3 linked regions of the Drosophila melanogaster genome follow. The protein of the gene in region 2 interacts with the protein of the main gene of each other region in a pairwise test. Each region holds a gene or a part of one and is shown on either strand. Other genes may lie near its edges. The genes, in order: ari-2, CG3792 and CG10252.

Region 1 (6,707 bases), on a different chromosome or scaffold from region 2:
GCTTCCCGATGAAATTCCAGCTGAGACGCACAAAAAAGAATTGCCTGGACTGCGGAAATGAACTTTACTACCGGTATCCCATCACAAACAACAGCGACCTGCTGCTGATCAAGAACTGCTGCGAAGTGGAGGTCTATCCCGCCAAGAAAGTGGAAAATATGAACAACGTGAGGGTGACCAAGATATCGGGAGTCAAGAAGTTCGCCAACAGTCTGCTGAAGGAGCATTCCGAGTGCCGGTTGTTCACCTTAGCCAGCCAACTTGCGAAGCAGAAACCACCTTTGGCGCCTGATGTTAGGATGAGTCGGATGAGCAGGAAGAGCCGGAAGAGCCGAAAGAGCCGGAAGAGCAGCAGAAAGAGTTCACTGTTCGGCAATAAAAAGGGTAAAAAATAATAGCAAAAACATCATCGAAGACTAACTAAGCACATCCAATCTGAATAACAACGAAATCAAGGAAGATAAGTTGGAATATAGCTCGTACTCAATCACTAAAAAAAATAAACTCGGCTCAAAACCCAAACTTGAAACTTGAGTGAAAGCTTATCCTTAAAACACTCAATCCAAGCTTCGTATGAGCTTCTCCAAAGCTTTAAGCACAAGACCCAAATCGTAAGCTTGCAGCCCACAGTCGAAAAGTCAGTTGAATAGTTGTATATCTAGTGTAAATTTAATTCAAATTCAGTCGCATAAGCATACATACATAGCGTAATCCTAGAATATAATTTATGATTCAGCTTACAAAGTTAATCGAGAATCGAGTGAGAATCAAAAGGAACGGGATCGGGGACGGGGAGTATCTATCTTCGTTCTTACTTAAGACTTTTGCGTTCGATTGATGTGCTGCGATTAGTTACGAGATACAGATTGCGAATACTTGATGCTGTTCACGCGGGGCTAATACAAGGTTTAAAACTTAGGGTCTAACCGATGAGCCGATCTGCTTAGGCGGTCTTTGATCTATAATTGCTTGACTTGCGGCGCTATACATTTAGAATTGTTACTGTTTCTGCATTTCATCGGGTCGTTTGGGCTAGTTTTTGGAAAACTGTTGGAACACTTGGCCACTGAAATGCGTCTGGTTTGTCAGTTAGTCAGTTGCTAGATTTAAAGTTAGTTTTATAGTTATGGTATAGCTACCGGTATCGGTATCGCTAGGGCTTTAGCTATAGATACTGTATATCGTTAACGTTCTGCGCAAGGCGTTGTATTGCAGTTACACCGATCATTTTGAGTGATTTCGAATGTCACAACTATAGTAATTATACTTCGAGTAGTCGACTATGCTCTATGCTACGTTTTCTAGTCTATATGCACTTGATTATTAGTTTAATTTAAAAATTAGCTACACGTCGTTGGGCCTACTACTAGATGGATACATGTAAATATGTGTATAATTTAATTTAAATAAGCGTCTCTATACTGTCGCGTCACGTCGACCTGTCAGCAGTCAATCAAAGAGTGTTTGTGCTAAACAAGACAGGCTGTCCGTTCTGGTGGCCCTGGAAGCTCGACGGTTGCCTATGCGTCCACTGGGAAGAAGTCTTTCAGTAGCGTGGTGCGGCGCTTTTCAGCGATGTCCATTTGATTCTCGAGATCACCCAGGTCCGTTGTCTCGGCGCGCTCTATCTTCCACGACAGATTCTCGATTTCGGCCTCCAGTTGTGCCTGCACGGAATTAATACATTATTGGGCAACCAGTTAAAGAATAGCCGAACTGCGACTCACCTGCTGGTACTCAAAGAGATTCTTTCGCGAACCGGCCTCCATGTAATAGGCGTACGGATAGGTGTACTGCAGCGTGTATCGACACTTGGCCAGCAGTGCCGCCGCGTTGAAGAGGTATTGCCAGTCGATCCAGGTGCCGCTGCCGTTCATCACCTTCGAGTTGATCCGCTGGCGCAGCCGGTCGATCGTCTGTTGCTCGAGTTTCAGAGACTTGGAGTGGTTCTCCCAGCGCTCGTAGTAGTGCAGGTACTTCTTCAGCGCCTCGCGCGCCTGCACGTGCACCGACTCGTTGGCAATGTTGGGGTTGTCCTTGTAGCGAGAGCACTCGTAGTACTCGGAGCCGTGCGTCTTCCAGTCGCCCAAGCACATCCAGCAGAAGTCGTGCTTGCAGTTGAAGCACTGCATGTGGTTGCAGCCGCCGTTCTTCTCAATGCAGATGTGACACTTGGGGCAGTCTTTGGTGTGGGCGCTGATGTAGTTTGCCGTTTCGCTGTCGTCGGCGCACTTGGTCAGCCACTTCTTGATCACCTGGCAGTCGGTGGGTGCGTGGTAGTCCATGCCGCACCGGAAGCAGAAGCCCGTGTGGCAAGCCTTGCAAATGGCACGTTTGGCGGAGATCTCCGATGATTGCACAATAATCTGGCAGTTGGGCCCGGGACAGAAGCGGAGTTCCGGGTGTGACTTGACGTAGTCCTTAAATGCAAACTGCTGGTACTTGTCCCGCATAACGGGTCGCGTGACCAGCGTCAGCACCAAGTCCTCGGGCACCCTAACATTACACATCTGGGCCATGCAGCCGATCTGCGTGGAGATTCCCTGGAAGATCTGCGTCTCGAAGTATATGGTCCAGCAGTCCTTGCAAAACGAGTGCCCACACGCCAGGCTGTAGAACTTGTCGCCCAGCTGCGAGCTGGCACAAACGGGACACATCTGGCTGCGGTACTGTGGTGTCGCCGATGCCGTCGTCTTGTACCCGCTGCTCCCCAGTCGGAGCAGTTGGGCACTGGCCGCCGCTGCACTCGTCGAAGCCGTATCCGTCACTGCCACCGATGGCGGCTTGATTCGCGCCGTCACCAGCAGTGCATTGGCGTCCTGGCGGTACTTTTCAACGACGGCCACATTGTTCCACTGGTGCTCCAGCAGCAGCACCTTGGCCAGCGAGGGTGTGATCTGCAGGATGGTGTTCAGCTTCTCCACGCGCTCGTTCAGCAGCTTCTCGATGTCCTCGACGGTTAGGCACTCGTACTCAAAGTACTCCGGGTCGGCCCGCTTCGGATCCAGACGCTCCACATCGCAGTCCTCGCCTGAAGAAGAAAAGGATATTAGTATTATAATATAATTGAACTTTATAACATTTATAAATCATAAATCTATTATGCTTTGATAGGACAGTTTCCACTTTTTCTTTTGGTTATTTAAGCTAACTGATTGTATTTTAAACCAAAATCAGACTGAAAGACAGCAAGGGTGGATTTCAAACGAACCCTGAGTTAGCAGTTGCAGTTATATACAATAGGGCACTTTTAATCCCTTATTGTACAAAACTGGTTCCAGAGTTACGAAGGTTGAGTTGAGTTTGTAAGTTAAGCAATGGCTGACTTACATTGATCGGTTGAAACCGACGAAACATTATTACTTTGGGAATATCTTCTATGTTAATCTGACATGTATGGATCAAAAGGGATTACAGTGTATGCAGCCGGTAATCATGTTTGCATTTTGTTAGTCACATTGGCTAATTCGAGAAAACAACCGCGCGACAAGGCTGCCATAGAAGTGCTCGACGTTACGATGTTACCGATATGAGGTATCCGATTGAAGGTTGAGTTAGGGGGCGTCTTGGCCAGGTCGGAACAATAAGGGACAGGTCAAGAAGCGGAGACCGAGTTGACGGAACAGCGGCACACAACAGAATGCAACTGCGTACTTGAGCACGCACCTGAGCTGGTGTTCGTGGTGTGTGTGTTAATGTGTGCTTGTGTGGGTTGTGGAGCTACGAAGAGCGTGAGCAGAGTGGCGGGCAATAATGAAGCCAGCCACAAAACACAAGCCTCGCAATCAGTCCCAACTCGCAACTACCAATTGTACTTGCCCATGCACTGAGAGAAATCAAGTCTTTAGTAATATTCTTATATTATTTTGCCCCTTTTAAATCAATATTGATTTGAGTTCATGTTATAAAACCATTTGAAAATCAAGCCCTATCACATAATTCTCTAAATTGAGGTATCAAATCATCATTAGAATTGCTTTGGGAAATGTACCAAATGTAATCATTTAGTTTGGCCTAGATTTGACATTTTAAAACTAAACATTTATCCTATTACACAGTGCAATTTTCTCGCCGTGCAGCTACGTGCGTGTGTGTTTGTTTCAAGTTCAATTCCATAATTTAAGCTTCATGGTCAGCGAAGAAGGGCGGAGATCAAATGGGGGGTGTGGGGTTTGGTCATGGAACCCAAGGCGAATGTCAAGTGCTGAATGCAAATTCCCAGGTCTTGCGGGCCTCCTTCCGAAAAGGTGAATAACCAAACCAAGAGCCCGACATGTGTGTGTGTACTTCCTCACAGATACACTCGTACCCCTAATTTGGCCACAGTTAAATCGATGGCCGATTGTTGTCAGGGGGAAGTGCCCCTCTAGATCAGGTACTAGTTTCCACTTACCTGTGTTGTAGTAGTCGTAGTCGTCGTCGTACTCCCCGTCGTTGTCCGATTCCATATCCATTTCGATGTCCGAGTCCATTCCGGCGGATTGGCGCTTAAGATTTGGGCCTCAGATTCGGGATGTTTGGTTGGGAATTCGAGTTTCTGGCGAGGACACTCACTGCTTCCGTGTGAGTGTGAGTGCGGGGTGTCTTCTCTCTTGCTCTTTTGTAACAGTTGTTGTAAGGGCGCTGGTGGTTGCTGTTGTTGTTTTCGCAGGAGGTGGATGATGGACCCAGAGAGCGGGAGGGGCGGTGGATGCGGATAATGGAAAGTGGCCGATTTAGCGCGATGCAGTGCCACCGATTCTGGTTAGGGTGATGAACTTTGCGGGGTGGCTATTCTACGGCGGGGGGCGGTCCCTTGTTTTATTTTCGTTTATCAACATGCATGTGTACACACACACACGAGCGCACTCTCGCTCTCACGCACACACACTCGCACAGCCGTTGCACTCAACTCAAGGTGTTTTTTCTACTTCGCCTGCAGTTTATTTTCATTTTTCGCTATTTATAGAACAATCTTATGCACCACTGACAATGCACTAGATGCACTGACTTTTTGCGTTTTTAAGCGAGCACAGCTTTTGCAGAGAACATTTTGTTCTTTGTCTTGTCCGAACCTATCGGGGCATATCGTTCTTCGATAGTTCGATGTTTTATTACTCTTCTTCTTTCAGTGCGACCACGAAGCAATCAAATCAAATACCAAAAATATACCAACAACATGTATTTTTTTATTATCACATTAATTCAACTTTTTCTTCGCGATTATTGATGCAAAACTATTAGTTTCAACAGAAAACTGGCAATTTGCTTTACTATTTTAGATTACAAATTTTAAAACTAAAAATTTACAAATATACTGGTAGCACTGACTCGCGACTTGTGCTAAAAGCCAAAATACCGAAATCATTTAGCACACAGGAGTGCTCAGAAACAAAACAGCTGTTCAGCTTTTGAGCGGCTTAGTTTGAATTTTGAATATGATCTAAATTACTTTTTGGTCAGCTGGGTATGTTTTTTGGATATGGAAATCGCTTTTCTTGCCCGACATCACCTAGATGCATAAATACTCCCCAAAAGAAGCAAGACCGGAGAGAAAAGCATCTGGAACAAGTTTCATTTTCTTCTCATCTCCCTCTTTTTTAATTTTCTCGGCTTTTTCGATCGCTCCGTTATCGCAGCCCACCAATAATGATTGGAAACCACATATACTTGCAAATAAAATGTCTGATTTAAGCCTAAAGGAAAGAGGATAAAGTATGATCCTCAATAAAAGTAATCATTGAACTTACGAGTTTCCAATGACAAGCGTCTTTTCGGGCTTTATTTCGCCAGACTTCATCAACTTGCCCAAAATCCGCTGATTCGGTTTGCCCAAAACGATAGGCTTGCGTTGTACAATTATCTCGATGGCAGAGGCCAGAGATCCGGCATCTGGGATCCTCTTTTTCCCAAATGGCTGGAATCCATCAATGCAAGTGGTAAGGAACAAGACTTTGGGATTTTGAAGATAGTTGCAGGCCACAAGCAACTCGTTCGCTATCATGTTGTCGTCTCTGGCCACCAAAACAGCTCCCACATCCGGATCGAGAACTAAGCTCCTGACGAAGTCGATTTTTTTCTGGTCATTTGGCTGCAGATCGTTTACCACGGAACAGAATCCGGCCTCTTTCAGATCTTTGCGGATACCGTCACCACCCAAAACGAGGATTTTCTTCTTAAACTTCCGGTCGCTAAGGTAACTCGCAATGGCACCCGACGAGCTGAAAATGTCCTGCTCCTTGACATTGAAGCCCAGGCACTTGGCCTTCTGGAACAGATCCTTGTTTGTTAGGCAGCACTCGTTGGTGGCTATGAGACATCGCTTTCCCTTTGAAATTATGGCATTGAATGCCTCTACAGAGCCCTCAATGGGGGTATTCTCCTGCCACAGCACCCCATCCGTGCTGCAAATAATGGTGTCGATCCCGGCCAGCCATTCGGCCACCTTTGCCTTCGGCAGCTTGTCCAGATGGCTTAGACTGCGCCTTAACATAATACAATTTTGATTAAATTTAGAATGTGAAATATTAAAATTTTGAGTACTTTATGACATTATTTTCAAAGATTAAAAATTTCATATTGCCATATAAGAGTATCATAAAATAGCAAGGAATACGAAAAAGTTTATTTGGCAAAAGTAAAGTGATACTATATAAAAATGTTTTCTTTCTAATAAAATCTTCGGCCACGAGATGCTGTCGAAAATACCACCCAGAGTGAAAGCGCAA
Region 2 (3,566 bases):
ACGAGATTGCCATCAAGAAGTGCAAGGAGGCAGCGCGTCAGGTGAATGGACCCGTGCTGGTGGAGGACACTAGTCTGTGCTTCAATGCGCTGGAGGGCTTGCCGGGTCCGTACATCAAATGGTTCCTGGAGAAGCTGCAGCCGGAGGGGTTACACCGTCTGCTCCATGGTTGGGAGAACAAAAGCGCTCAGGCTATTTGCACCTTTGGCTACTGCGACGGTGTGGATGCCGAGCCTCTAATCTTTAAGGGCATCACCGAGGGCGTTATCGTCGAACCTCGCGGCCCCCGGGACTTTGGATGGTGAGTCACTTGCGTAAGAAGTCTGATAAAATGGCTCTTGCTTATTAAATTCTCTATCATTGCCGCAGGGATCCGGTTTTCCAGCCCAGTGGCTACGATAAGACCTACGCCGAACTGCCCAAGTCCGAGAAGAACACCATTTCCCATCGCTACCGCGCTTTAGCTCTACTGCGGCAGCACTTCGAGAAACAGGACAAGTTAATAAACTAGGACTCAATTTAATTTAATTATTCAATTCAATTATTTAAACATCGCATATTTGTTCTACATTGTCGAGAAGTTGTTGCAACCTATGTTTCGAGTTCAAATCTCTCTATGTATATCTGTTTCTACTTTTGTTACTTCTATCCGCACTGCTTAGTCATCCTTCTTGGTCTTCGGCTTCTTGGCCTTTGAATCCTTCACCTTGACGCCAGCGGGTTTGTTCCAGTAGTAGATCAGCTGGCCCAGAATAACCGAATTGGCAAAGGTAGAGGCAATGAAAGTGAGGATGATCATAAAGTCACCAGTCTCCTGGATGGAGGTGAAGATGCGGGCCACCGATCCTGCAAACATCATGATCACAGTGGCGGCTGACAACTGACCAGTGGATCCAGCCTGGTAGTTGGTATACGCCTGAGACAGCTTGCCCACCAGCAGGATGGGAATGTTGCAGCTCTGGATGGTGAACAGCACCGACATGGGCGTTAGCCCCGAATTGAGAACATACATCAGCACGACATATCCCACTAGAAAGAGTCCCGACTGCGCCTTGCGCCCGTTGAAGAACAAGACCAAGACGGCGATTGTGACGGTCTGGATGGCCAGGAAGGTACTGTCGCCCCAGGCACTAAACGGATAGCCATGCATAAAGTTGTACGACAGGTGGAAGGAGATGGCCAGCAAGTCCAACACTACGCCCACAATGTTGATGCCCTCGCCAGACTTGCTGTTAAGGATCTTCAGCACTTGTGGTACTTTGACCAGCACGGAACCTGCGATAATTGCCAATCCCAAGCCCTTGCTCAGCAAAGCCTTGAAGCACGGAACTACGAGAAATGTTAATTGATACTTAATAGGCACATACCTTTTTGAATTAGCAGCCACTCACCATCTAAAAAGTTGTGATAGAGGAAGTAGTTATCATAGCACTTCTCGCTCATAAGGAACAGAGCACCCTGCCTGATAAGATCCGTCATTTTTGTGCTGCGAACAATTGACTTCTGTTTATCTCGGAGGTCGTGGTCGTACTTAATTAGTAAGCGGCGCTGGTTTCACTATGCACCGGTGTTATCAAGCTGGCCGGCCGGTCGCTCCGAGAATGAAATTGAAAGCCGCCGTTTACGCACACGTAATGCGGGTTCCGCCGAAGAAGATATTGATGCCCGGTGGCGAATCGGCTTGGGAGTGGAGGAGGAATGATAAGATAGGTGGTTGTGCCAACGTTATGTTATTTTCGTCCGGCTTTCGCTGAAAGGTATGCGCTAAAAATCGCTACGTGGGTTTTCCTGCTACTCAACACTGCCACAAAGTGGAACAAAATCGAAAAAAAGTGCAACATTGGCAGTAAAGTAAATAAAGTGTTATTCAACCAGATTTGGTTTTAATTTTAAATTTGCGCTGAATTCTTATTTAAAATGTTATTCCATACATAATTTGTTTTTTGTGATAAAATATTTACTTTTTGCTTATTGAAAATAATTTAGGCTGTCTTAAATAGATTGCCCCACTGTCCCGTACAAGTGCTTCGATTGCGATGTATCGATAACCAATCGATTATTTATTCACCTCTACCTGAGTGCTGTAGACAAAAGTTTGTTTATTATCCGGGCTGCGTCGGCGTGAAAATTAAAACTAGCGTCAGTAAATGCTAAATACCCGGCTAATTGCTATGTCGACTTCCGATGGGGCCCCGGAAACCAAGAAGCAACGTCCTGAAAGCAGCAGCAACGGCAGCAAGGACCAAAACGGAACGGAAGCCGGCGCCGAAGGCGACTCCCGTGATAAAGTGGCGCTGATAACAGGCATAACGGGCCAGGTGTGTAATTGATGAATTAGTCACGGCTGTTTCAGGGGCATCTCCTTCATTCCGTGCTTACGTGTTCAAAGTGCTCGATTCTTACTTGTTCCCTATCGCCCAGGATGGCTCCTATTTGGCAGAGTTTCTGCTCAAGAAGGACTACGAGGTGCACGGCATTATTCGGCGGGCCAGCACCTTCAACACCACCCGCATTGAGCATCTATATGCCGATCCAAAGGCGCACAAAGGTGGGCGTATGAAGCTCCACTATGGCGACATGACGGACAGCAGCAGCCTGGTGAAGATCATCAATATGGTGAAGCCCACGGAGATTTACAATTTGGCAGCACAATCCCATGTCAAGGTCTCCTTCGATCTCAGTGAGTACACGGCCGAGGTGGACGCCGTGGGCACGTTGCGCATTCTGGACGCCATCCGCACTTGTGGCATGGAAAAGAACGTGAGGTTTTACCAAGCCTCCACTTCGGAGCTATATGGTAAAGTGGTGGAGACGCCACAGAACGAACAGACGCCCTTCTATCCCAGGTCGCCATATGGTAAGGCAGCAGCTTCGATAATGTATGCTAAAAGTAATACTTAATCCCACCTAACTTTAGCCTGCGCTAAGATGTACGGCTTTTGGATCGTCATCAACTACCGGGAAGCCTACAACATGTACGCCTGTAATGGAATCCTCTTCAACCATGAAAGTCCACGACGTGGCGAGAACTTTGTGACTAGAAAAATCACCCGTAGCGTGGCCAAGATTTATCACAAGCAAATGGAGTATTTTGAACTGGGCAATCTCGACTCAAAGCGCGACTGGGGACATGCCAGCGACTACGTGGAGGCCATGTGGATGATGCTGCAGCGGGAGTCTCCTTCCGACTACGTCATAGCTACAGGCGAAACGCACAGTGTGCGCGAATTCGTGGAAGCCGCGTTCAAGCATATTGATCGAGAGATAACGTGGAAGGGCAAGGGTGTGGACGAGGTGGGAGTGGAGAACGGCACGGGTATTGTGCGCGTCCGCATAAATCCAAAGTATTTTCGGCCGACGGAGGTCGATCTGCTGCAAGGCGACGCGTCCAAAGCCAATCGAGAGCTAAACTGGACGCCTAAAGTTACCTTCGTGGAATTGGTTAGCGACATGATGAAGGCTGACATCGAATTAATGAGGAAAAATCCAATCGCTTAAGGCCTACCTGGCTTCCAGCTCGGACTGGGATCATTTACGGCACAAAGCTCTCTGCCCGCTTGCGGAGC
Region 3 (3,428 bases), on a different chromosome or scaffold from region 2:
CCAATCGTAAGCTGGGAACATGGACGGCAAGAACTTTGCCGTGGCGAATGCTCGGTGAATATATTTCTTCTCCCTTTATTGGCCACTAATTATTACAAATTCCTATAATATGCCCGACGAGCCACTGACACACAAACACACATCTAATTTACGGACACTGGAGCAAACTATAAATTTGCTTGGACAATTTCGCCAACTTCTTTCGAAAAACTATAAATAAAACAGGCAAAATCTACAAACAAAACGAGAAACTTTGATAAAAAGAATTTTGTGACTGAAAAATACCGGAGTTAGATAAAATCAATGGTTCCGAGTTCCAGTGCCTTTAAGCGAGCACTCGAACCATTATCTTGATAACAGCGCTCTGTTAAGAGAAAACAACGGTTGAAACAAGATGAGCATTTGCCCGCGAAATTGAAATGGGATAGTCTAAATACAAATTCAGTTACTCTCAATTCCGTAAAATAGTAACGCGTGTTGTTGTCTGCCTAAAAACTCACCGTTACGTTGATATAATAATGTAAATGTAAATGTGCTTTTTCCAAAAATTTCTATTATCAAATGTTAATTTGACACATCGTTCAGGGACTACTTGTATTTTAGACATGTACAGAGCCAAGTGTATCACATCATAGGCGCACTAGCATCAAAATGCTCCCTTCCTTTTCCAATAAAGGTAACGCTCATTGCGTTCTACCAAGTTAAAACAAATTCAATCTCATTTTAATACCCCGTTAAGCATTTTCCATAAACAATGAAACTTGGTTTAAAAAGAATTGTTTATTCACAAAAATTTTAGCATATATTTCTTCCAATATTGCACTTGGTCTACATATTGTCACATCTAACTATCATAGGCGGAGCGAACTGGTGGTGGCGCACACCAAAGGAGTAGCCCGGTCCACTCTTGCCAGGACGATAGTACATGAGGTCGTAGTAGTTGGGTCCAGGTCCGACATTCTCGCCCGGAATAGTGGTGCGCGGCTGCATCGAGTATATCGGAGCACGTGTCAGTTTGACATTGATATCACCACCGCCATATGCAGCCGGACCCGGAGAATTCGTCTTGTTCAAAATCTTTGTTTGTAGTCCCCTGAGATACAGGTACAAATAAAAATAGGCAACTTAGTAAAGGAATAACTATGGTAGGATTGAAATACGCACATGCTATAGCTCGGGACTCCAGGACGAACGGCATTGACCTCGTACTTGTAGGCATTGGGACCGGGACCATCCTTCTTGAAGTTAAAGTCCGTTCGTAGGCCCATCGAATACGAAGGAGCATTAACCCCCTTAAAGAATGGCCTATTATGAACATCGTGTGCTCCCGGACCGGGACTGCTTCGCTTATCTACGATTAAGCAATTTAACCAAAAACGTTCTTGTCTTCAGTACTAATAAGTTATCTTACCGATGACATTGGTTCTGGGCGCCATCGAGAACTCCAAACCCTTGCTCGTGCCATAGCGAGTCAACTTGTCCACCTTGTAGGCCCCTGGACCAGGACCCAGATCCTCACCAGGAGCACGGGTGCGCATGCCGAAAGAGTACTGCGGCAACCGCTGTTTGCGGTTGTCATGCTTATCATAGCCCACAGTGGGGGGCAGCATGTAAACGCCGGGTCCAGGGCCTACAAAAAGCATGTATAATATATTATTTACCACATTACAATTTTATGAATTCTCACTCACCAAAAGGTCGCACCGCCATTTTTGTTAGTTTTGTGCAATATTAGAAAGAAAATCTATTTTGAAAATTTAGAACCCAATATTAGGTGTTGGCCGAACAGATTCCAGTAGCAGAATGAGGCTTTCATAGAACTTCACATCGCAGCTCCATTCGAAGTCAGAGCCATAGCACACTTGTTATAGAAAAGTTTTACCACCGTAATTCCTTCACACATAACCCATTCAAATATTAATTACGTAATTCTTTTTATTCCGAAAATTTGATCATAATAACCTAAGTTACTTCAAGACATGGCAAAGTGATTTTAATAATAGGAGATTCGAATTTTATCGGAAAAATAAATTGTTTACGAAAATCAGCTCCAGATATATTGCTTTATTGAGCCAAAGGAACGCCTTATTTGCACACTCAAGGTTGTTTGCTATTTTGCTGGACAACTGGGCAGTACAGCTTATTCCACATCCATGGAGTTGTAAAGTTGTTTATACCTAGATCCCCGCCCGCTGCTTTGGAGCAGCATATCATTATGCTGTTCCCTAAGGGCCTGTTAAAAAAAAAAACACATATAAATAGTGACGGCTTAATCGAAAAATATAAAAAATGTTGATACCTTTGGATCGTATTTCTGATGCAAGTAGACCAATATTGGGCCATAAATCATATTGAAAATGCCGACAATGCGCATCAGCCAAGCAAATCCAAAGGTCTGGGCCAACTCCCCGCCAATCAGGGGAGCTATAAAGATGATAAAAATACACTTTTTTTTTTAGAAAAAAAAAAAAAACAATATCCACTTACCTAAGCAATAAGCCAGACTGACAGAGGTCTGCTGGATAGCATAGACTGTTCCGTAGCTGGACATGGAACTGCTGCCCTCACCCTGATCCTCCTGAGCCAGTGTTGCATCCACAAAGGTGGCCAAGAGTGGAACCAATGCGGCATCGATTACTCCAATACCCAGTCCCAAGGCAAAATGGGGCAGCAATAGTTGGGCCACCGTTGTAGCACTGGGTATCTGCAAAGTAAATAATATATTTGCAATATATTTCCAATTCAGGTTTTATAAAAGCAGGGCTCTCACCAGAATAGAGGCTACTCCCACCAGCAACAAACTGATACAGGACACCTTAACCTGACCATATTTGTAGGCAATGCTGCCGAAGAAGTTCGTGCCCACAAAGTAGCCCACAGAGTCTGGAATGAAAACGGTGCCCAGCTGCCACTTGTTAGGCTTTAGATACTGGATTAGCCAGATGGGCAGACAGGGCTCCAGCATGGCCATTGTTGAGGTTGAAAACCAAATGGCCAGCACAATGGCCAGGATCATTTTGCATTCGAGCAGCGATCGCCACTTGGGTCTATCCTCCACCACAACCTCCGGTTGCACCGTCAGATCCATGGTCAGGAGCTGGAGGCCCAAACTTAGGAACATCAGAGTGGAGAGAATGATAAAAGGCGCCGATTTGCCCATTAGGTCATACAGAATTCCACCGAATGGATAGCCCAGCAGCACACCCAATGCGATGCTGCCCAGGATGATGCCCATCACCTTGGAACGACGTGCCTCCTCCGGATAATGCTGGGCCACCAGGCTCATGCCGCATATGTTGATGCAAGCGGATCCCACGCCCTGCACAGCCCGGGCCACCAGGAGAGCCCAGTAGGATTCACCAACGGTGAAAACTGAAAGGTAAGTTTGGAGAAAGTTGGATATATCGTTTTACGCATTAATAAAATAT

Evidence for each region.
Region 1: the proteins of CG3792 (region 2) and ari-2 interact in a two-hybrid assay, tested with the Drosophila melanogaster proteins (one large-scale study listed by BioGRID).
Region 3: the proteins of CG3792 (region 2) and CG10252 interact in a two-hybrid assay, tested with the Drosophila melanogaster proteins (one large-scale study listed by BioGRID).

Annotation. Positions count from the first base shown.
Region 1 is NT_033778.4:22,211,206-22,217,912, reverse strand, and holds ari-2 (ariadne 2), read right to left. Parts: upstream 5,079-6,707; 5' UTR 4,473-5,078; coding exon 4,394-4,472; intron 3,032-4,393; coding exon 1,728-3,031; intron 1,668-1,727; coding exon 1,521-1,667; 3' UTR 649-1,520; downstream 1-648. Other genes in the region: CG30278 (uncharacterized protein), read left to right, coding at 1-395; CG11291 (uncharacterized protein), read right to left, coding at 5,492-5,675, 5,730-6,472.
Region 2 is NT_033779.5:4,975,511-4,979,076, reverse strand, and holds CG3792 (uncharacterized protein), read right to left. Parts: upstream 1,766-3,566; 5' UTR 1,480-1,765; coding exon 1,392-1,479; intron 1,330-1,391; coding exon 659-1,329; 3' UTR 512-658; downstream 1-511. Other genes in the region: CG8891 (uncharacterized protein), read left to right, coding at 1-301, 370-511; Gmd (GDP-mannose 4,6-dehydratase), read left to right, coding at 2,148-2,318, 2,422-2,857, 2,918-3,498.
Region 3 is NT_033777.3:23,694,453-23,697,880, forward strand, and holds CG10252 (uncharacterized protein), read right to left. Parts: upstream 1,794-3,428; 5' UTR 1,711-1,793; coding exon 1,692-1,710; intron 1,631-1,691; coding exon 1,412-1,630; intron 1,352-1,411; coding exon 1,165-1,351; intron 1,094-1,164; coding exon 829-1,093; 3' UTR 769-828; downstream 1-768. Other genes in the region: prt (portabella), read right to left, coding at 2,141-2,233, 2,300-2,424, 2,488-2,704, 2,771-3,372.